Oryzias latipes: one gene and its partners. The protein of the gene in region 1 purifies or fractionates together with the protein of each later gene. This does not show direct contact. Links are inferred from orthologs where the notes say so. Each region holds a gene or a part of one and is shown in the gene's direction. Other genes may lie near its edges. The genes, in order: lig3, aptx and tdp1.

The links.
Region 2: the proteins of lig3 (region 1) and aptx purify together in Homo sapiens (affinity purification with mass spectrometry; 3 studies listed by BioGRID and IntAct, with this or other methods). This does not show direct contact. The link is inferred for Oryzias latipes from reciprocal best matches to the Homo sapiens genes LIG3 and APTX.
Region 3: the proteins of lig3 (region 1) and tdp1 purify together in Homo sapiens (affinity purification with mass spectrometry; 4 studies listed by BioGRID and IntAct, with this or other methods). This does not show direct contact. The link is inferred for Oryzias latipes from reciprocal best matches to the Homo sapiens genes LIG3 and TDP1.

The regions. Positions count from the first base shown.
Region 1 is NC_019872.2:27,676,256-27,683,927, forward strand, and holds the end of lig3 (DNA ligase 3), read left to right. Parts: coding exon 1-83; intron 84-294; coding exon 295-372; intron 373-445; coding exon 446-614; intron 615-1,109; coding exon 1,110-1,265; intron 1,266-2,768; coding exon 2,769-2,900; intron 2,901-2,973; coding exon 2,974-3,053; intron 3,054-3,942; coding exon 3,943-4,030; intron 4,031-4,103; coding exon 4,104-4,181; intron 4,182-4,250; coding exon 4,251-4,374; intron 4,375-4,984; coding exon 4,985-5,127; intron 5,128-5,202; coding exon 5,203-5,277; intron 5,278-5,363; coding exon 5,364-5,510; intron 5,511-5,689; coding exon 5,690-5,840; intron 5,841-5,945; coding exon 5,946-6,025; intron 6,026-6,439; coding exon 6,440-6,526; intron 6,527-6,648; exon of another isoform or gene 6,649-7,057; coding exon 7,058-7,291; 3' UTR 7,292-7,487; downstream 7,488-7,672. UniProt on the Homo sapiens protein: Isoform 3 functions as a heterodimer with DNA-repair protein XRCC1 in the nucleus and can correct defective DNA strand-break repair and sister chromatid exchange following treatment with ionizing radiation and alkylating agents.
Region 2 is NC_019859.2:15,248,403-15,256,560, reverse strand, and holds aptx (aprataxin), read left to right. Parts: upstream 1-3,747; 5' UTR 3,748-3,847; coding exon 3,848-3,977; intron 3,978-4,194; coding exon 4,195-4,241; intron 4,242-4,361; coding exon 4,362-4,640; intron 4,641-4,765; coding exon 4,766-4,825; intron 4,826-4,927; coding exon 4,928-5,154; intron 5,155-6,016; coding exon 6,017-6,120; intron 6,121-6,192; coding exon 6,193-6,347; 3' UTR 6,348-6,751; downstream 6,752-8,158. Other genes in the region: dnaJ homolog subfamily A member 1, read right to left, coding at 1,358-1,462, 1,730-1,922, 1,994-2,125. UniProt on the Homo sapiens protein: DNA-binding protein involved in single-strand DNA break repair, double-strand DNA break repair and base excision repair.
Region 3 is NC_019861.2:31,360,517-31,368,116, forward strand, and holds part of tdp1 (tyrosyl-DNA phosphodiesterase 1), read left to right. Parts: coding exon 1-15; intron 16-174; coding exon 175-271; intron 272-1,239; coding exon 1,240-1,274; intron 1,275-1,767; coding exon 1,768-1,860; intron 1,861-2,135; coding exon 2,136-2,306; intron 2,307-2,421; coding exon 2,422-2,500; intron 2,501-3,149; coding exon 3,150-3,326; intron 3,327-3,612; coding exon 3,613-3,661; intron 3,662-3,992; coding exon 3,993-4,059; intron 4,060-5,245; coding exon 5,246-5,353; intron 5,354-5,713; coding exon 5,714-5,816; intron 5,817-6,479; coding exon 6,480-6,585; intron 6,586-7,127; coding exon 7,128-7,201; 3' UTR 7,202-7,600. UniProt on the Homo sapiens protein: DNA repair enzyme that can remove a variety of covalent adducts from DNA through hydrolysis of a 3'-phosphodiester bond, giving rise to DNA with a free 3' phosphate.

The DNA.
Region 1 (7,672 bases):
GAAGTGGATGAATCTTTGACCCGCCTCGCTCAGCTGACGAAGGAGGACGAGCAGCAGAGCGAACTGGAAGCCATCGCCAAAAAGTAAAAGTCTCCTCAGCTTGGTGTTAGACGCCATTGCTGCTGAAGGACGTCCTGATCCAGATCAGGGATCCCGGCCTCCCACCAGAATGTCTGATCTTCATTTATCTTTGAGGACTCTTTTCTTCCACAAAGTTCCTCCTCCGTCTCATCAGAACCTTTGTCCTGAAGGTTTTGTAGTAAATGACCTCAGATGATCTTCTCGTCTTCACAGATGCACCAGCAACGACCTGAAATGCATCATCAGACTGATTAAGCACGACCTGAAAATGAACGCCGGAGCGAAGCACGTGTAAGTCAGTCCACGCCGCGCCGCAGTCAACGCGCCGCAGTCGGCTCCTTCTCACCTGCGCCTCCTTGTGCAGCTTGGACGCCGTAGATCCGAACGCGTACGACGCCTTCAAGGCCTCCCGTAACCTGGGCGACGTCATCCAGAGGGTTCTGAGAAACCAGCAAGAGGCGTCCAACGGGTCGGGACCCCGGAAGCTGCTGACGGTTGAGGCGTCACTCATGACGCCCGTGCAGCCCATGCTGGTGAGCGCACACGCCGGCGGTTCTGGTCATGTGGTACTTGGGGGGTCGCAGAAGACGGATTTTCCTCGTTCCAAGTCTGGAATGTTTCAGAAAATTCTCTGCTGGTGTACCTGCCTCACTTTTTTTCACACACAAAATTCAATATGACAACAAGAGAACGTCCCATTTTTAGGTTTTTTTTTGTTTCAGTTTTTAAACCGATTACTCCTCACAGGTTCAGGTAAAATCCTTTAGTGGTCCCTCTTTTATGGCAGGGGTTACCTTCTAAAAATGATCTGTGAAGTAGGAATTTGCCATGCAGTTTTTCTAAACTGAACGCATTCTGTACAGGAGATTGATTGACGAGGTTTATAGCCAATCAGGTTGCAGAACACAAAGCGGTTTGAAAAACGAACAAAACCAGAAACCACAGAGGGTGAAGTGCGATATAGCGGGGGACCACTGTACATCCAACCCGATGGGTTTACCTGTGCTGCTTTTCTTCTCTGATTGCAGGCCGAGGCGTGCAAATCCATCGATCAGGCCATGAAAAAGTGTCCGAACGGGATGTACGCCGAGATCAAGTACGACGGCGAGCGCGTGCAGGTCCACAAGAGCGGCGACTCGTTCAGCTACTTCAGCCGCAGCCTCAAACCCGTGCTGCCGCACAAGGTCTGCCCCACTGTTGGAAGATACTTCTAACTGACAGAAAAAAAGACCCACATTTCCCACAAACTATAAACGAAGACGCCGTCGGCATCAGGAACCAAACAACCACTAGATGTAGCTGCAGCCCGCTCTGAAAGCGGCAAATCCTCGGCTCTGTTTCCGGATCCACAATCAGCAGCTTGTTGCTATTTACTAAGGAAGCAGAGGATCCTCTGCTTCCTTAGTAAATAGCAACAAGCTGCTGATTGTGGATCCGTCTCAGGATCCTCTTTGGCCGCCCTTCTGCAGCCCCCGGCCTCTGCAATCAGGGAGTTTGTGTTAACGGTGGGTTTACGTGGTGTGTGGGGGGCTGCAGAAGGGCGGCCAAAGTCGTCTAGCGTTGTTTTCTTAGCCCGGGGCTCACGCCCCCCCACCTCCCACCCCCACCCCCACAGACGGAGAAATCCACAAGTTTTGAAAAGGACATCAAACGTAGAATTTGTCATTTTAGAATTCTGACCTGCAGCAGCTGCAGCCAAGGGACCGGATTGTTCTTAGAACCTCAGAAAAGGTCACGACCTGCCAAAAACCCACCATAGCATCCACGCACCTGTCACCTGCTGAAAAGGAATTTTGGGCATCGTGGGGGAAAAAAGGGAATGGGGCCAAAAAATATTTCAAAATCCACACGTGTCTGGAATTTCCAAAGGAAGATCTTCAATTATTATGGGATGGCCATAGGCCTACAGCTTGGCTGCCATTTGGTGGCGAAGTGGGAAATTTTGACCCCTAAATCTTCCCCTAAAACGGGAAAATTTTGCAGCATTTTAACGGCGTTAGCTCGCAAAAGTGGCGTTTCCCTGCTGCTCGCACATTTCTACCAGAATATAATGAAGATGGTGGTTGGTCTGAGCTGAACAAAACAATATGACGCACGATGACGTGAGCATATTCAGGTTAACAGAAAATCCTTCCAAAAGTGACACAAACCTGTTTGTCACTCCCAGGCGACTTAAAAATAAATGGTTGCTATGGAAATATCACCAACAGAATTGCTGCCACATTGAAATCGTGTTTTCTTGACGTTATTCGCCTGTATTTACGTGCGACCGAGCATAAAAACGGATGGAAATTTGTGTAGGAGGCCACGTCATCCGCACAGAATAAATGGTCTGAAAATAAAATCAAATTCCAATTTTAATCAAACTTTTTCCTGCTTTCCTTTACAAAAAATGACAAACGTTAGATTTTTTTTTTGCTGAGATAGTGTCGTTTGTGGCATCATTTTGTAGGTGTTGGGGGGGGGGGGGATGATGCTTTTTGAACTGAACTGTAATAGCTCCCTAATTATAGTCGCGTGTATTTCTGAGCAGGGCAGAGAACGAGCAGGCATGAATGGACGACAGGGACATTCATTTCTGCTAATCAGCCAATCAGAATCCAGTACTGGCCTGGACCACAGTATAATATTCACACAGCGTCGAGTCCTTGTTTAAATTCTGATCCCTGTGCGTTTGTGGTTTTCAGGTGGCCCATTTCAAAGACTACATCCCTCAGGCTTTTCCTGGAGGACACAGTATGATTCTGGATGCTGAGGTCCTCCTAATTGACACAAAGAGCAGCAAACCTCTGCCCTTTGGGACTTTGGGGATACACAAGGTGAGGAAGAACTTTTTTATTTTCCCTCTGACCAGTCATTGTTGTCACACTTCAAACCCTTTCCTCCCCTCAGAAAGCAGCCTTTCAAGACGCCAACGTGTGCCTTTTTGTCTTCGACTGCATCTACTTCAATGGCGTGAGCCTCATGGAGCGGTAAGGCTTTCTCCTCCACACACAGACGCCTGCGTCCCCGATGGAACAATGAAAGCTACGGCGTTAATTCAGCTCTGCACAAACCCGAAACGCTTCTCTGCAGGCGTCTTTGACGGTTTGCCGCCTAACTTCATTCTCTTTCAGTTAGTCTTCCTCGGTTCTCCTGTTTATGGCTCTCAAACTGCTACAGAAAAGTCCTTATAGTTCACGACTGTCAGTTTTTTCCATCTAATGGACACAAGGAAAAATAGCTAAAAAAAACAAACAAATTGTCTCTCTTTGTTTAAGACTTTCTGTGTCTGTTTCCTACCCAGATTTTAGTCTTTCAAAATAAAAACAACCTTATATTTGGCTAAAATGAAGGACGTCGGCCTGTTTGGTTTTATCAAAGATAAAGAGAAGCACATGGGGTCAAAAAGGTTTTTTTGCAGGTGTGATTTTGGGACGTCCCGATCCGATCAGAAATCAGGCCTGATGACAAAGTTTCAAACTCGGTCGGAATCAGATATTCAATTTTCTCTCAATATTGTGGTCGGCGCTATATATTTAAGGCGTATTATTTCAAAGGAATACTCGGGTAGAAGTAAGTCTGCTCATCTCGAACGGATAAAACGCAACAGAATGTGGCACCAGTTTATCCCGTGTGCTGTCTTGTGGGGTCCAGATGACCCAACGTTAACGTGCCTCGGAGGCACGTTAACGTTGGGTCATCTGGACCCCAGAAAGATGAAGGAAGGAAAAGCAGTTGGGTAAAGTTAGAAAGATATTCTTCATGAGAATGAAGTTCCGTGATGTTCTCATGAATGTTTTGAAGTTCTTTAAAATTCTGTGACGCTGGACTCCTCCTTGGTGGACTTTGTAAATAATCCAGAGGAGTCGTTTCTCTCAGGCCTCTGAAGGAGCGCAGGAAATTCCTGACGGACAACATGGTGGAAGTTCCCAACAGGATCCTCTTCTCAGAGATGAAACACGTCACGGTAGGCGTTTCCACCGAGCGCGGCTTCCTGTCGTCGCTGCACGTTAAAGACCTGCCACGCCTTTGTGTGTCAGAGAGCAGGAGACCTGGCCGACATGATAACGCGGGTCATCAGGGAAGGACTGGAAGGCCTGGTGCTCAAGGACATCAAGGTGAGCGGCGTCCTGCTTCACACAGGAAGCTGATGTTTGCAGCGCCGCTGAAGGTTCTCGCGTTTCCAGAGCACCTACGAGCCGGGGAAGCGCCACTGGCTGAAAGTGAAGAAAGACTACTTGAACGAAGGCGCCATGGCGGACACGGCTGACCTGGTGGTGCTCGGCGCCTTTTATGGGAAAGGCTCAAACGGTGGGTGATGGTCAGAGAACAGATTCAACTCTGCAAAATGAATGACTAAAGAAGAAAGTATCTGCTTTTCCTTTCTCTAAACTTTGGTTTTAATTCTGCAGCACGTGTCATGTGGTCTGTCACTCCACCCCTTTTATACTTTCAGGATGACAAAACATTTCAAAACTTTGAAAAACGTTGGAATTATTGATGGGTTTTTTAACGTGTTCTTGTTGCAGTTTTCTGATGGAGGACATATGTAAAGAAAATCAGCTTAAAAGTGCACGTTTGAGTTTTTGTTTATTCAAATCATTGTAAATCAGGAGCAGATAAAAAAAACGATGCTGGACGGGCCACAAGCTGAAACAGAACTCTGCAGAAACTATGTCAACACAGCTTTTTTGATTTTTGGCACAAAAAAATAGCATAATCATAATTAAAAGACCACTGGGAACACTTTAAAAAAAGACCAAAAGATGATCAAAGTGAAACCTTAAACAATTTAAAGCAATTTTCTTTGTAGCAATCTCATGAAGAAGGTCATACCCAAAAAAAACTCCAAAGTAAACTCAGATTGTCAGCAAAGCAACACTCGCTGCTCTAAAGTTGTACTTGTTCTTCCTCCCACCAGGGGGCATCATGTCCAGTTTTCTGATGGGCTGCTACGACCCAGACTCAAAGAAATGGTGCACCGTGACCAAGTGCTCCGGAGGATACGATGACGCCATGCTGGCCCGGCTCCAGAAGGAGCTGGATGTGATTAAAATCAGCAAGGTCAGAGAAGATCCACTTAGAGAGGCGGAGCTGGAAAATTCCAAACAGTCAGGAGTTCATCCTCTGCTTCTGTAGGAGCCGAGCAAAATCCCCGGCTGGCTGAAAATCGTCAAGAACTATTATCCAGATTTCATTATCCGCGACCCTGAGGTGAGGTGTTCCGCTCGGCGTCCGGATCCTGCAGGAAAGCGCCAGCAGTGCTCGCGGGCCTCTCATGTGCTGCTTCCCTCCCGCAGAAAGCGCCGGTCTGGGAGATAACCGGTGCCGAGTTCTCCAAATCGGAAATGCACACCGCCGACGGCATCTCCATCCGCTTCCCGCGCATGACGCGTATTCGCGACGACAAAGACTGGAAGACCGCCACCAACCTGCACCAGCTCAGGGTGAGACCTTCAGTTTCCTCAGCGGCCTAAAACACAGACGTTTGGGCAGAGATGGCCGACGGCGAGGTGTGCAGTCCAGCTGATTATGTCCCGCTGAGAAGACGGGAGGTCATGTGACAAATGATGAAGAGGAGGAGCAGAGGTTCATGGGTTTAAACGTGCGTCCATCGCTCCCGCAGGAGCTGTTCCGCATCTCCAAGGAGCACTGCGACTTCAAAGTGACGGCCGGCCCGTCCACCGCCGACAACAACAAAGGGTCGTCAGGGGGGGACAGCACGGGGAGCTCGCCGTCGCCCTCTTCCAACACGAGCGCTCCCCCCAAAAAGACGGGTAAGTTCATCTCTGATGTCGAGTCTCCCTCAGAACGTCTGTTCTGGCTCCAAATCAAAGGAAAAGAAAAAACCTCAATGTCAATCTGATGCTAACATTTCACAGCTAACAGAACACCAACGAAAGCAAAGGCCCAGAAGTCGGAACCCCGCACTCCCAACTCGGAAGCTTCCAGCGCCAAAAAGGTGGGCAGGGCCGACGTGAACTGATATTTGGGATCTGGGTCAGGTTCGTTAAGAAAAGAGGAAATCCTGCCGGACTTTAGTAAAAAGTGTTTGATCCGACGACATTTAGTCACTAAACAGCTGCAGACGTCTCCATGGAGAAACAGTCTAAGATTTTAAACGTCTTTTACAATTGTTTAAGCTGAATGCACCTTTTTAATTCAACAGCAACGTAAAATTGTTTACAGTTCATTATTGCTTTATTTATAACACAACAACATGAAATTATTCAGTAAGAAATGTCAGCAGTTCCATTATAAACTCTGGAAAGTTCAAATAACCGTTTTGCTCTCCAGTTCTTCTATGAGTAGCTCCGCCTAGTGTCCAAACCAGGAAGTGCAGTCGTGTAAAACTGACTAGTTTTTCCACAAACAGATGAAGAAAAGCGAAAATGTCAACAGCAACGGGCAGCAAAGTAAACCCAGAGCGACCCCCCAGCTCCTGGAGGCCAGGAACGACAAGGTGGGTCCAAAACCCTCCCTGTCCTCCCCCAGGACTCGCACTGACCGGCGGTCCTCACGAGGGCGTCTACAGACAGACCAGCGTTTGGGTTGAAAGTAGAAATAATCAGAGAACAATGTAAATGTTGTCTGTGGTTCTGGAGCAGCTGAACAATAGAACCGGCTTTATTCTTCTTTAATGTTCTGATTCAGACTCAAGCCTTTTATGAGGAAGAGTTTCAAACATGACATTGTTGTCCTCGCGGGTCTGGACGACCCGTAAAGTCTAAACGATGTATAAAAAAGCGGGCAACTGTGTTTGATTTAAAGTTTAAATGAGGTGAAACTCCTAATCAAATCCAGCCTTCAAACTTTGGTTCTGGACCGTCTCAAAGGTCCAGTTCTACTCCAGAGAACCAGTTAGAAGCTGAAAGACTAGATTAAAAACAGGTCTGTCAAAAAGTTATTTTCTTCCAGCGAACAGCTTACTTCTTCGGTTCTGTACGCCGGGGGGGAGGGGCATGACGCGTGTTTGTGTTTGGCCGCCCTGCAGACGCTGCTGGACATCTTTGGTGGGGTGAAGCTCTTCCTGCCCGCCTCCATCCAGGACGCCGACAGACTCCGGAGGTACTTCGTGGCGTACGACGGAGACCTGGTGGCGGATTACGACGCCGCCTCCGCCACGCACACGCTGGCCCCACCCGGAGAGGACAGCCGGGCTCAGAGGGTGTCGCCCAGCTGGATCTGGGAATGCATCCGGAAGAGGCGCGTGGTGCCCCCCTGCTGAGAGAGTTGGAACCATCAGCCTCGGCTCTCAGGAACGGGTTCTGCAGATGAATTAGCAGATCTGATGGACTTTTTCTTTTTTCTACTACAAACGCTAAAATCATGAACTGAACACGAGATGTAGATGAAAGCAGACTTCTGTAGTTTAAAGTTAGAACTGAAAGCTTGTATTAAATCCTTGGTTTTTGTCACAGATACAAGCGACTCCTCGTCTCTTTTTTTAAGCACTTTTAGGCAAAAAAAGGAAAACGTTCACAGAGTTTACGTTAACGCCACATACAAACGTGTTCCCAAGAAAAGTGCTGCCATGAAGCTCAAACACTCCAGAAGAAGCTCAATTAAAGTTGGAAGTTCTCAAATGAAAACGTCCAAAAACAGGGCG
Region 2 (8,158 bases), on another chromosome or scaffold:
AACGAACATGCAGGTCTAGAACTAAACCTTCATTCAGTCACATTAACACTCAACAATGTGAGGAAAGATAAAAGAACAGTAACTCAATCTGACAACCTGTGCTTTTAGGGAAAGTCTTAGTTCTACCTTAAGGCCAGCTCTACTTCATGCTTAAAAAACAAAACAAAAAAGCATGAAATTCATTGAACGCTTCACTATCAACCAAATACTAAACAGAAACTTTAATCGCTTTCATCTGTAAATATGCAACTCAGCGATGCGTTACCCTGATCTGTTCCAGTAATAATACTACTGATGACTCTGGTTTCAACGTTTTATTTGGAAAACACAAATTGTAGAAATGAATTTAGAATCTCCCAGTCATTACTTGAGAAGACGGATAGAAAACATTTCTAGGAACATCTCTACCTTGAGCTACTGCAGTAAACTCTGGAGCACTGTCGCCGGGGGATTTTCACCTGAGCCAAACTATTTACATGAATTTCAATGTGGCGTGTCAAGCCGTCCGTGCCTTCACAGGGAAGTCTCACGTGTCCCAGGTATGGATGGACCAAAGACCAACTTTCTAGTGTCATTTTAGTAATTTTTTTAATGAATTTTTTGTTTTCAAATTCCTAATTTTTCAGTAATTTTTTTAGCATGTTTTTAGGAACTTCCTATGTTTTTCATTTTGTTACACATACTACAGTTGAAAAAAAAAACTTTAATTTATTATGTGTTGTCGTGTTTTGATCTATTTTTTTTGACAAGTACTTTTTGTTGGGTATATTATTCCGGGTAAAAATTACCCGACAAAAGTGATGGTGTGTAACTTTTGATAGCGAAAGAGTTCCAGGGTTAAACAAAGTTTTAAAAAATTCAATTGAATTTTATTTGTATAGCCCAATATTACAACAATGGTCGTCTCAATGGGCTTCATACCGGTAATTGTATAGTAAACATGAAATCATAAAGAACATAAAGTTATAAAAATTAATAGGTAATGGCTAAACTAAACAGTCTAACCCGTCCAGTATATTTTCTTTATCACAACTACACTTTTTCAACAATTTGAAATAAATAAATATTTAGAAATGCAATTTTAAGCTTTTCCCCCTAATATATGCCATCCATCATCAGAAAAATGCCACTAGAACATGTTAAAGACAACAAAAACGCATTTTTATCAGAGTGGATATTAAAAATATTTGGGACAAAAAGAATTCCTGCTGCTGTGAACATCGGGAATTCTTGGTAAATATTTAGCACATTTGATTTTGAAAGTACTAAACCCATCTATTTATTTCTGCAGAAACGTAGAAGTAGTGTCTTTGCGGCACAGAAGATTCTCAAAAAAACTGAGCGGCGAAAGACTTACCCTCACACCTCTCACATATACAGTTCTTCTGCACGGCTAGTTTTCTCGTTGCTCCGTTATAAAGTTCCTCTAAAGATACAGTGATCTGGTGCACCATATTCTTTCCTGTGAATGAACAAAAAGACAACTTTTTTTCAAGAATCATACAATATTATGATTAACATCTATAGAAACATAACTAAAAATACTGTTAGTGATGTTTAAATCCTACACGACGACACTTTAACTCATTCAGAGCATAAAAAATACATTTGCTTGTCAGTGTTGGACTTGGTACAGTCCGGACCGGGGGAACATACAGAGGAACCATAAACTATATACTTCAAAACAAAACCCAGAGTGTGTTTGTTGTATTCTCATTATTTATTTTACCTTTTCGCTCTCTTTGCATCCGACTACCTCCACCAAAGAAAAAGTCAAAGATGTCCATGGGTGATGCAAAGCCACCGCCACCGCCGCCGCCACCAGTTCCCCCTTCCTTTAATGCCTTTTCGCCTCCCCTGTCATAGATTTCTCTCTTCTGGGGGTCTGACAGCACTTCATACGCCTGTGAGATCTGCTTGAACTTTAAAGACAAATCGTTTAAGAAAAGAAAAGAAAAACAAGGACGTTTGTGGCAGCTGCGTTATGTGGTACCTTCTCTCCTTCTGTAGGATTTTTGTCAGGGTGATATTTCAGGGCGAGCTTGCGATAGGCCTTTTTCAGCTCGTCAAGTGTTGCGTTAGCCTGAACGCCCAAAGTGTCATAAAATCCCATTTCCTTGACCATGATAGGTTTTTATAGGCCAGTCCTAAAGAAAAAACAATAACAGTGTGTTAACACACACACACTAAACAAATCTGATCCTCATCTGGTTAATCTGATGGTCCTTATCTGTTAATGACAGTTAACAAAATTGGGAACTTTAACAAACACCTAAATAAGAAAAACAAAATAAATAGCAGTTACTGCAAGAGTGAAAGGGAAAAAAAGAAGGGATGAAGCTTACAGCAGAAAAGCCAACTTTTTCTCAGAAATGATAAACAAAGGTGAATGAGGTCCAATTTTCTTACTTGTGTGTTGCCCAATTCTAAGATTGACTAAAATGTGACCAATAAGCAACCAGACGCTGAAAAAAGCAACAACAGAAAGAGTCTTAAGTCTTTACTTGCTAACAAAGCAATCTGATTATGTACTAAAATATTTAAACAACGTCAGATCTGAGCATTGCTGTTTAAAAAAACATTTTTTCAGGCATGTAAATGAGCATGATGGGAGTTTTTGGCTTAGAAATTTTCTGTTGTTTTGTGTGAGAAAACAGAGACGGTAGCTGTGTGTGTTAGGACAGATTGTTCTAATAGAAAAAAACAAATAAACAATGCTGAGACTTTTTGTTCCTCAGGTCAGTTTTACCCGAGAAGCTCTAGCAGCAAACGGGTTATTTGCTAGAGTCTGTTCATTTGGTCAATATCATAGCTGAAAGCTTCTAGGGATTTAGAAAAACACCGAAAATATAATGCAGTCCGACAGGCTCATCATGTCGACTAACATTGGTGTTCTGCTTACTACTGTTCCATTATCTGTGGATAAAGTTAGATTTCTCTGCGTAGAGGGGCACAATGATTCGGCCTTTGTAGCTAATTTAGCTACTCATGTCGTAGCTATGTATGTCATCAACATGGTGGCTTTTTTGCCAATTTTTTTAGCCAACAAATCACGTGTGGGCTGTTGTTAATAACATGTTTCGAGAATTAGTGGTTTTCCAACCTTAAACGAAGACCACGCTTAGCACCCTCACAAGACTGCAGCTCACAACGGCTCTTCCAGAATCTTCCTGCAGCCCTCTTTCTGCCGACTGCTGGTGTGGTGTCGAGTTTTGTCTGCGCGCAGCGCAGACATCTACGTCCACCTCGCGGGAACGCGCGTCGACAGCTAAACCCGACTGTTGGTACTTGTGACCGCACCATGTCGAGTTATGTTCTTTCTCCCAAAAGATATCAATATTAACATGACTGAAACCCACAAATTTAAACCTAAATGAAAAAAAGAACGAATCTAACTTCAGCACAATCACGTTTCAGAAAGTCAGTCATAATAAAAGTTTTAGATACAAAAAAGTGATATTTTAAATATTATTTAAAAAGAGCCAAGCCTTGTTGAATTTTCTGAAACTGCTATGATTTAATGTCCATTCATTGACAAACCAACCAACCAAGAAGAAGAAAAAAGACCAAAAAATTAAAAAGCAACAACTAAAAAATAAAAAAAAATAAAAAGTTGTTTTACAAGATATCATTTTTATACAAGAAAACACGTTTTTATGTCGTTCACAATTTTGCTGTTGTTGCGCGCTCTCGCAAAGTGAAGAACTCTGGGAGGAGACAGAACTTCCCACCCCACCTTGTTCCTCGGTCGCACCCTCGTTCGTCATCACTCCGCGACAAGTTGAACAAACATTCAAACGTGTCCCGCTGCTAAATATTAGGGAGAAAAGCGTAACGAAATGAGAAAATGCCCATTTGCTGGCTCATTAGTGAAGAGGGGAATCACAAACCCATTCACCTGCCTCATTTACAGACAGTTGTCGTGGGTCGAGGCCCAGAAACTACTATCAAAGACAAAAAATGCTCCCGGCATCAAGGTAACGATGTTACCTACAAAAACAGTCTCTAGATTTCCTGTGAGTTCAGTAAGAATGTTAGGAAAATAATCTGTTATTGTTTTAGTGATTTCAGGGATAATACATTTAAGAAAACAGCAGGAATTGAATGACTTGAGCATCAAGTTATTTTCATTCATGTTTGTAAAACGAAATGCAAAGTTTTAACCTGTCTAAATGTTCCTGACTTTCCCATCAGTTGAACTGAAAGCTGAATGCAACAAAGGTTATGTCAAAGTGAAGCAGGTAACATGCTCACAAGAATGATCAGTGGTATAAACAAAATAAAAAGCCTTATTGCTGTACATTTTGTATTATTTTTATTGTTCTATTTTTTTTACCTGTTTTTTTTCTCCCCTCCCTAAGCTGGGGTTAAACCCCACCTCTGTCGGCTCCTTGGTGGTGGGTAAAGGCAATGAGGTCAAAATGAAGCCTGGAGAGCAGCTGCTCGTGGTCAACAGCCTTTATCCATACACCGTGCAGTTCAAAGAGGACACCACCGGGAGCCAGGGCGCCACCAAAAGACCACCAGAGCCAGTCAAAGAGAATGGAGGAAGCCAAAGAGAGACAGACTGCCTGAAAGCTGGACAACTCACAGAAAAAGTCGCTGCAGCTGTCATTCCAGGAGAAGCCACAAAAACTAGTGTGAGGAGAAACAAAGAAATCTACAATCTGTGATTTATGCCTAATATACAAATTATTGTTGCAGACCTGGAGAGTTTTTATTTAAATATTCATTCTCATAATTCATGTTAACTGACATTTTGTAGGGAATTTCTGGGCATTGGAGTCAAGGCTTGAAAACTTCAATGCAAGACCCCAAAATGCAGGTAGCTATAACTCAACATTACTTACTGATAAACGTACGTCTAAATTGAAACTAAATTTAGGTTTTGTTTCTGTTTTAATTGATCTTTTTTTTTTTTTTTTAGATATACAAGGACGATACAGTTGTAGTGATCAAAGACAAGTATCCCAAAGCTCGTTACCACTGGCTGGTTCTTCCATGGCAGTCGATTCCCAGCCTGAAGGCTTTGAAGGCAGAACACTGCGATCTGCTGAAACACATGCAGAAGGTGGCTGAGCGCATGATTAAGCAATGTCCAGAATCCAGCTCACTTAGCTTCCGGACTGGTTATCACGCCATCCCAAGCATGAGGTAAGTCTTTATTATGTGTGTTTATTGGGCTGTTACTCCTTAAAGTACACCATCCATCCATTTTCTTAACCCGCTGTATCCCTTTCGGGGTTGCTGGAGCCTGTCCCAGCTACTGCTGAGGAAAAGCGGTTAACACCCTGTACAGGTTGCCAGTCTTTTGCAGGGCCACACAAACACATGCACACCTCGGGGCAATTTAGAGTCACCTAGTAAACCTATGATGCATGCTTTTGGAGGAAGGCCAGAGTGCCCTGGAGAAAACCCATCGGGAGAACGTTCAAACTCAGCAGAGAAAGGGCCCTGCTGGGAATCAAACCAGGGCCTTCTCAGTGTGGGGCGAGAGCGCTAACCACTACCCCACCGTCCAGCCTCAAATTTCCCCATACTGTTGAAAATTAATAAAGAATAATGAAGAGATGCAACAATTCACTTTCTGGTTTTTCAGGTCACAGTGTTGTTTCACTTTGATACATGTGTATAACAAAATAATAATAAAAAAAAAATTGGTTTTTATTTATTTATTATTATCTAGAAAGCAAGTAACAGTAAACAAAGCCCTTTAGTTTGCTTATAATGACCCTGGTGTAATGTGATAAAACTATATTAAATTTAGCACAATGCTCGTATTTGTTACTTTCAACATAAACATATGCAAACATATGCAGTAGGGATGCAACGATTCCCCTGAGAGCTTGTGCTGAAGCATCACTACCTGGATAAATAAAGGTATTACTGCTTTAAATGTGCTCATTGTGGGTTTGTTTTCAGAGCACAATAAATCATCAGAGTAGTGTTACACGAGGACATCTCGGCTGAATTTGACATTTTCCCACTAATGAACCGTTCTGTTTACACTCTTCAGTCACATCCACCTCCACGTGATCAGTCAAGACTTTGACTCTCCTTGTTTGAAGAACAAGAAGCATTGGAATTCCTTTACCACAGATTACTTCATAGATTCTGAAAGTAAGAGCAGACTTTATGTTATTGATTGATTTAGATGTGCTGTGTGTAAAATCAAGCGTTTTCTTTTTTTAGATGTCATTCAGATGCTTGAAAAGGATGGGAGCGTCTCTGTGAAGGATGGGACTAGTGAGCTGTTGAAATTGCCTCTCCAATGTCACGTGTGTCACAAAGAGTGTCCCACCATTCCTGCCCTGAAAGAGCACCTGAAGCACCACCTCTCTAAATAACCGTGGGACTTTTTTATTCTGGGCTGTTTTGCTCTAAGTTAGCTCATTTTCTAGAAAATTCAGAGCGGGAACATTATTTTTTCAGGGTTTCTGTCTGTTGGAGTTTGAAGTCAAAATACCCAGATATTCTTCAGAAATACTTGTTATCCATCACATGTCACAACATTCTTTAGAGTTGCCTAATAAAAAAACTCTACATGTTGCAATAATTGTTATCTAAATACGTAGTTCTCCTTTTTCCAAATTTAGCTTTTAAGCATTTTGACTTTATTGTTTGGTTAGTGTTGACTGTGAAGCATTTTTTATGGTTTTGTGTGAACAAACAACCGTTTTGAGTTTGAAAGACTTAAGTGATTTTCAGCAAATAATATATATTAGTGAATAAACTGTACTGAACCAAAAGACGTGTCAATGGAATAACTCTGTCACCATCTAGTGTTCAATCAGAAGAATTAAGTTATAAGGGTAAGAGAAGGTTTAAACCGTATGTATTTTGGTAACCCTTCAGTGGCGCCTCCAGAAATTTTTCATGGGGGTGGCCAGTGGGGGGCCACATTAAATCTTGGGGTGGCACACAAAAACCATGAGCTATATTTTTAAAATTCATTCTACCAAACGTAGTAAAACAACCTTTAGAAAACCAATAGAAAGATAAATGCCTACTGATATTTTGTAGAACATGAATTTATAGTAGATACTACTAGTATAATAACTAATAGATACTAGTAGATACCATTAGTAGATACTACTACTGATATATATATATATATTTTTTGTTTATATTCAATGCTTAGGTGTGTCTGCTTGGGCTGTTCGGCTCTTGACTGAGAGATATCTACAATAAACAAAAAATGAAATCTGTTGTTCTGAAATAATAATAAAAATATCCTTCTAATTATTAATTATATCTGTAGACATTTCTATTCAGACTTATAATCATGAAACATTTTTATTATTAGGGTAACATAATTCTAACTTCACCAGTTGGTCCAGGAACAGGTGGAGCCCCTGCTTATGCTGAGTTCTGCCTTGTTTCTCTGACCAATGATGCTGACTGTCCCTCCTCTGATGCCGTCTCATCTTTGTCTTCCTTATTCTCTTCTGTCATTCATGCTGCTCTGTCTCATCTTCCTCCTCCTCACTACTCCTCTGTTGCTCCCCTACCATCTCTTTCACTCCTTCTGCTGCACTTTTATTCTTAAAATAAGAATATATGTTGAATTTCTCTTCATTCTCTGAAAATGGACAGACACAAGCATCAACTAATGACTATAGGTAACTCTGTGGAAACAAAAACACATCAAAATGTTGCGGTAACACAACAACCAGTGCTTAAATAGTGCCATGAAAATGAGTGGCTTGTGACAGGGACATCCTTTTTTTACTTATTAATAAGAAGTAATGACACATCCACCGCCGCTGATGATGTGGCGTATTTGCACCAAGTATTTGCACACTGGGTTTACATGTTTTGCAGACCGCATGTTTTTTACACCTTTGCAGCTGTATTTATTTAATATTTAATATTTATTTCTTTATTTAATAAGAATCTAATTTTTGATAATAATTTTTCATAATAATTTTCTGTGATATTTTTAATTATTTAATATAAATGTCATTTGTGATGTCCTTTATTGATGTTATATTATATAGATTATTTCTGAATGTCGTGTTGCTGCCAAGATAAATGAAATTTCCCCATTGTGGGATTAATAAAGTCATCTATCTATCTATCTATCTATCTATCTATCTATCTATCTATCTATCTATCTATCTATCTATCTATCTATCTATCTATCTATCTATCTATC
Region 3 (7,600 bases), on another chromosome or scaffold:
CCCACCGGAGTTTCGGTAAGTCTCACATCCACATTTTCATGACTCCAGTTGCTCTGCTGTTTCACAGCACTTCAGCTTCATGTCAAACAAAAGCAGGTTTTACTTGAGTGTAAGTAATCCAATAAAACACACGGGTAACTGTTGTTTGGTTTAAAGCTCAGTTTGTGTTTTCAGAGATCGTCCGGTTCTGATCGTACATGGAGATAAGAGGGAGGCGAAAGCACGGCTTCTCCAGCAGGCTCAAGCCTTTCCTCATGTTCGCTTCTGTCAGGTACGGGAAGCATTGACGCACAAAGCTGTTCTTTAACCCAAGGGCTGTCTCCAACTTCGAGGGCTGCATCCTCCAATGGCCGCGGCCTTCCCGGGCGATGTTGGCCGGGTCCTTCGTCGAGCGGGTGGGCCGGATGTTAACGGCTGTAAATTTGGACGAGTCTAGCCTCTGGATAATTCCAGCCGTTACATCAGCAAGTGTCCTGTCGCCTAGCAACCGTTAGTCACAAACAGGGAGGAGTAGTGAACCAGGCGTGGAGGTCAAAATTTTTCCTGGCTTATTTGATTCAACTTTTAATCTTGGAGGTGTAATTATGAAAAGGTTTCCAACTCCGGCTCCCTCTTCAAAGTCCGCCATTGTTGTCAGAAAATCTCCAGGTTCAGCCGCAATACCTCTTGGGATATGCACAGCATAAAAGGATACACCAGACCGATCCTAGAAATCGTTAAAAAAGAAGGCCGTATTTGTTGGCCGCATTTGAAGGAGTCGTTGAATTTGGATAGCACTTGTCGCGCCGCCGTGACGACGCCGACAAATGCAGGACGAATGCAGACCTCCAGTTTGGACACAGCCCAAATGGTTAGTTTCATTCCCCAACAGACCAGTTTCAGTACTTGTTCAATTCAGTAATAGTTTGAGGAAAACTGTTCCTACAGCAGAACCGCTGATTTTATTCCTCTTCTGTTTAAGATTCAATTATTATGATTTGAGTTGCTGTTTCTAAACAGGAAGTGGAATTCACATTTGACGCTCTTAAAATTTAAATGTATAATGTTTTCAGCTGCAGCTATAAAAACCCTTAAAATTATATAAATATTTATATTCTTTTTATAAGTTTGCATGTTTTGATCCGGTTATACCTACGTTGACTGATTAAAATGTGGTTTTAAGAGCTAATCAAATGGAATCTGTATTTCCTAAATGACTGCAGCAGATAATGTTTGTTCCATTAAATTCTTTGTCGACAGGCCAAACTGGACATCGCTTTTGGAACTCACCACACGTAAGTAAACCTCTGTTTTATTGACTTACATACTGTGTTAGTGTGTTTCTTATGGAGTTTTCTTTAAAATGTGCTTTAATAATCCAAATAAAATAGGCTTTAACATGCAACATTTTCTATCTGCATGACTTCTTGAGTGTTTTTTTAAACCAGGGCTGAAGGATTTATTCAAATGACAAAATATTATCATATAACTTAATAAAACAATATACAGAAGTGCTATAATTTTAACTTTTCCTGATTACTTCATTAATTTTCTTGTTTCAAAAACAGAAAATAAGAGGTTTTTTTTTTGTTCTAAAGAAAAAACATATTCTGTTGATGGTCATCGGTTTTTTCTTGCATTTTTCCATTACAGCGTACTTTAACTATTATAGAAAAAAATTAATCATATTCCATTTTAGATCTTTAACAGCTGTGGGTGATTGTCAGAATTGTTTTAGTTCATAATGAGTTAGAATTAGATGTATCTCAATGTTGCTTGTCTGTGCAGGAAGATGATGTTGTTGTGGTACGAAGAAGGCTTCAGAGTCATCATCCTCACATCAAACCTTATCAGAGCCGACTGGTATCAAAAGACACAGGGGTGGGTCTCTATTCTATATTTAGTTACTTGTGGCTCTTAAGTTCCACACCATCTGATGAAGATTACCATTACGATATTTTCTATGCAGAGAAGTTCAATTAGTGATTGAAGCTGAAGCAGCTGTTGCTTTATTGTTCTCTACGTTTTCTGCCTCCGGTGATGCTGCAATATTTCATCTCCTGTGGACTGAATAATGGCTGAAGAGGGACTGAATGCAAGCTTGATTAAACATGATTATGTTGGAAACTGCTTCTAAAACACGTCCTCCGTGCTAGGATGTGGATGAGTCCTCTGTTTCCAAGGCTACCAGCGGGCAGCGGTTGGAGTGCAGGCGAGTCGCCCACCTTTTTCAAAAGGGACCTCCTGGACTACCTGACTTCATACCGGGCCCCAGAACTGGAGGAGTGGATCCAGCGCATCAAAGAGCACGACCTGTCAGAGACGAGGTGGACACACACACGCACACACACACACACACCCACACACACACACACACACACACACACAGTCATACCAAATACAGCAGGATCATAGCCGGATCTCATCGGACTCTTTTGTCAGGGTGTATTTGGTCGGCTCCACTCCAGGGAGGTTTGTGGGTCCAGACATGGAGCGCTGGGGACATCTAAGGCTGAGGAAGGTCCTCCACTTTATTCCTTTATCTTTTGATTGTTTACTTTATTTGTGAGTTTTGACAGATCTTCAATAAAACAGACCTAAGGAAACTTTGGGAAACTGGAAAGTTTTATTTGACTCAACATTCGACATATAATTGAAACAAATGGATCTTGAGAGGTGTAATACTGGTCTGACTTTAAGATGATTATGGTGTAGAAGTAAGGATAGCTGGACAGTTGTAGTGCTTAGAATATGATATTTTTAAGGAAAAGGATTTTGAAACTCGTTCCTGAGCAACATGCCTTTATTTATTTATTATTTATTTATTTAAGACATATTAAGAAAATACCACCTAAATATGGTAAGACATCACAACTTATTTTAAGGAATCTCACCTAGACAAATTCTAGTTCTATTGGCAGATATTTTCTTTTTTTTTCACTTTTTATTAACAAAGGAAAAACATCTTGTATTCTATACTTTTAACTTGAAGGACATTTTTTCCAGTGTATAGCAAAGTTCGCTGATGTGTCTGAAAAACGTTTATTTATTCTAATTTAATCAAAATGATCAGACCTGTGCCATCATTTTTAACGTAGCAGCAGAATCCTTTGCTTTTCTGAGTTTCAATTTCCTTTTTTATGTTTTTTTTTTTTACCTTTCTTTGTTAGCTGTTGTACGAGCACACAAATCCGATTCCCGGCGAGGAAAAGTGGCCCGTGATCGGTCAGTTTTCCAGCATCGGCTCGATGGGACTGGATAAAACCAAGTGGTTAGCGGGGGAGTTCCAGCGCACAATGACAACTTTAGGGAAATCCTCCTCACGCCCTGACCCTCCTGTGCTGTTGGTATGTTCTGCGGTCTACCCCACATGTTCTGTTTAAGGACAAAGCAAAAGTGAACATTTTTATGTGTCAGAAGGGTAATAAAGACTAAGATGGATTCTTGTTTGTGAATAAATGCTATATCTAAACAGTTCTTATTAAAAAAAAGACATGTTAACTGACTCCATGACTGCTTAGAGCCTTCAAGTTGTGTGTCATGATGTCAGGAGCGTATCCATAGTTTTTATGGTCTGTCAGAAAGCTTTGACGCCTGACCTAAGAGAAGTACTGATGGGCCTCTCCTTCACAGCTCTATCCAGCTGTGGAAGATGTGAGAATGAGTCTGGAAGGATATCCAGGTGAGAGCTTCCGTCATTTCAACTGAACCTTTAACTTAACATTGAACCTCAAAACCACAGCAGTTCATTGTTGTGTAAGTACGACAGAAAGAAAAAAAAAGTAATATTACAAGATTTAAAGGCGTAAATATACGACTTTTTTCTCGTAAATTTACGAGATTGAAGTGGAAGTTAGCATACGTGCAGTGAGTGAACACTGCACAGCAGCAGAGCAGACAGACTAAATTTGAACAGGTCAAATTTAAAAGAATTTTTGTTTTTTTTGTTAACTGGCTCTAAAACCGTGTTATGTAAGTTTATCTGTTTGGTTTGTTTTTTTTTTTCTCTCCAGCTGGAGGCTCTCTTCCTTACAGCATCCAGACGGCTCAGAAACAGCTCTGGCTTCACGGCTACTTCCAGTAAGTTCCCATGCACCGATCAAATTCAACCACTTCCTTTAATACGTGTTAATGTATTAACATTTCAACACTTAAGCAATGAAGAGACAACTTTTTTAAATCTTGCAAATAATTTTAAAAGTTAATAGCAATTATGTGACATTTTAAGTTAGAGAAACCCCTTAAAACAGATATTTTTAAATAAAATAGGAGAGTTTTAACGTTCTGCAAACAAAGCCTTATTTGTTCCTGTAGGAACTGCAATGAAGTAAAAAAGCTTTCATCAATTTTCTTTTTAGATTCGTGCTTTTTATAACTCTCCATTCAGTGAGGCTCGGTTTAGCCAATTTTATGTGCAAATCACCTGCTAGTTAATTCTTATATTCTATGTTTCAGAGTCAACATTAGAGTGATATGTGATGTAAAGTCTGAGAGACAGTTTCTCTAAGAACGAAAATGCAGAGAAGCAGGGAAACGTTTCTATGCACAGACTGATTTTGATGTTGATTTCTAAAATGGTTATTTTTTACTTCATATTTTAAGTAATTAATCTTTTTCATGTCCATTATTAATACCTAAGGATTCTTAATTCTGTCTGATATAGTTAGGAACTGGATAATGACAAATCATGTAATAAAATGGTTACCTGCATTTCAAGCAGTATTTAATTTTATGTCTAATTATCCCAAATTTGATACGTCATTGTATGAATGTATAACTGATGATTGTAATGTTGTTGCGTACTATTCTTGTTTGATTGCTTGAAATAAACCATTTCAAATTTAAAAATCAAATCAAGACTTTGCAGGCTGCAATCCACAGATTTAAAAACGGCCTTCAACCAAACTGCATTACTACAGCTATTGAGTAAGTGGTTTATTTCAAATCCTTTCAAAAAACAAGAGAAAAAAATAAAAGAAAATAAAAAATACATAGATATATTAAATTTATTTAAGATTTTAATTCATAAATTGATTAGAAAATAAATGATACTTTCTCTACATTAGATTTGCTTCTAATTATAGACATATTTGCACATATGACACTGAAATATATAAGGATTGTCAAACAAAGTTTGATACATTTTTCGAAAGCGAGTCGGAAGAAGCAAAGTTATATAACCCAACCCCTTTTACGTTTTGCTAAACCTTTTTTCTTTTTTAAATAGACATGTTTTCTTACTGCCTGTGAACGTTTGTGTGTTTAGTCGCTGGAAGGCGAATGCAACAGGGAGAAGTCACGCCATGCCTCACATCAAGACATACATGAGGGTTTCTCCAGATTTCACAGAGCTCGCCTGGTTCCTCGTCACGAGGTGCCTTCTCAGTGCTTTTTTGATGCTTTCACTACGTGCTCTTTAAGAGGCTCTGGAAGAATCTGAGATGTAACATGTCATGAAGGAGGCCTTAAGTTTCCTTTAGAATGCACTTTTATTAGTATTAATTGATTGTGGGATCAATGCTTGTTTGGGGTAATTGGAGGGAGTGGGGTGGGTAAAGGGTGGACAGGGTTTTCTCTCTTTTTTATTGATTTATTTATGTATTGCCCGATTCTATTTTTAATTGTAAAACGCTTCAAGTTGCGCAAGTATGAGAAGCACTTTTTTTGTAAATATAGTTTCATTTGTTGGTTGGTTGATTGATTGATGATGTAACTGGTCTCTGTATGGTGCCAGTGCAAACCTTTCCAAAGCAGCGTGGGGTGCCTTGGAGAAGAACAACTCCCAGGTGATGGTGCGTTCGTATGAGCTGGGAGTCCTCTATGTGCCATCAGCCTTTGTAAGTTCAGCCCACGATACTTAAAGATCCACTTCAGCCATCTTTTGGTCTATTGTAGAAGCCTTCCCAGTGGTCTTTGAATTCTGATTGTGCTTTTTTTTAAGCCTAACTGCAAAAAAAAAAAAAAGTGTTATTTTCGAGGACATAGTTTCTGCAAAGCGGAAGTAGTTCATTAGAAATGTACCTTTAAGTTATGGGTGGGACAGTTGGTGAAGAACAATTCTGTCCTTATTCCCCTCCTGAGAGCTCTCTGTTTACAAGCTCTTCTGCTAGCTTACAGTCCCCTCACAACCCCAACCTAGCATTAGCGGTGCGACAAAATGGCGAGGGTTATAAAAGCTATCGCTAGACGAAGAAAAAAAAGACGTACGTGGATCTATTTATCTACAAGTGGATGCATCAGAATGGAGCGGAGCCGGGAACTTGTGGCCCGCCCAGCATATTCTCACAAATACAATCTTTTTCAAACCGCATTTTATTGTCTGCTCCTGATTCACAACGATTTGAATAAAGAAAAAAACGCTCCTTACACATGTCCTCCATCATGAGAGAAACACCACAGGAACGTGTGGGTCCTAAAAACTCCAGTACTTCAGCATGTATGCCTGCATTGACAAAAACAGTTGAAACCAAATGTCACTGTTGTTTTTGTTTTTTTGGCAGAACTTGAAGACATTCCCCGTTGATAAGAGTGCATTCCCAGTCTCCTCGTCCTCGTCTGGGTTCCTCGTGCCTTTCGACCTCCCACCTACACCTTATGCTGCTAAAGGTGCGGCCATTTTGTTTGAAGTCTACTCGCAGTTTTGCGTCATCAAACTAGTGTTTTATTCCACATATGTCAACCCAGCTGAGCTTGACAACTTTCTTCCCACAAATATAAATGTAATATTTTCCACTGCAAAAAACAAACAAACAAAAACCATTAAAAAAATCTATTATTAGGTTATTCCTGTATAATCTAATCTAATCACATGCAGTACCATCTTATGTTGAAATATTTGTTACTTTTATGTAGAAATATGAAGCAAAAATGATCAGTGCCTTTAAGGAAAAGCTTAATTTTTTAGCTTCTTTTTTTTAAATCTGCATATTTTTACAGATCATTACTGATACAAATCATCTCTACTGCATGAAAGGTTTACCAATCCCTTCATTTTAAAAAGTTTTCTTTTTAAATAAAGAAAAAAATGTTAAAATTTTAAATAAATGAATCCGTTGAGGAGACACATTTTTAAAAAATCTGATCATTGTGTCACAACATTTTCAGCTGTGTCTGAGAGTTCTTTTAAATAAACAATAATACATTTTCAGATCAACCATGGATCTGGAATATTCCATACAGCCAGGAGCCCGACACCCACGGCAACATCTGGATTCCCTCCTGAATGTGTCCATCACTGAACTGTACTGTGTGTAGCTGCTTGTTCAAAAATCCTGTTTTTTTTTTGTTTGTTTTTTACTTTAGTGTAGTCTCACATTTTCTAAATAAAAAATAAAAAGGCAATACCATGTTAATGTTGAAAATGTTTTTATTTCTCCGTGACGTTTTTATTATTTAAAAGTGTCAACGAGCGCGTATCAAACTCCACTCCAGTGTTGAATTTGTAGCATTTAACCAAATAAATAAGTTAGAGTTAAATAGCAACCTAAAGAAAAAGTGTATGACTTTAATAAAACGTAATGTATGTGTGTTTATTTTCGGGAGGTAAACAGATCCCAGAAGAGTGAATTACACTTTCCATTTTGTTTCATGACGCTGATTAAAGTAGACAAAACACCTCATT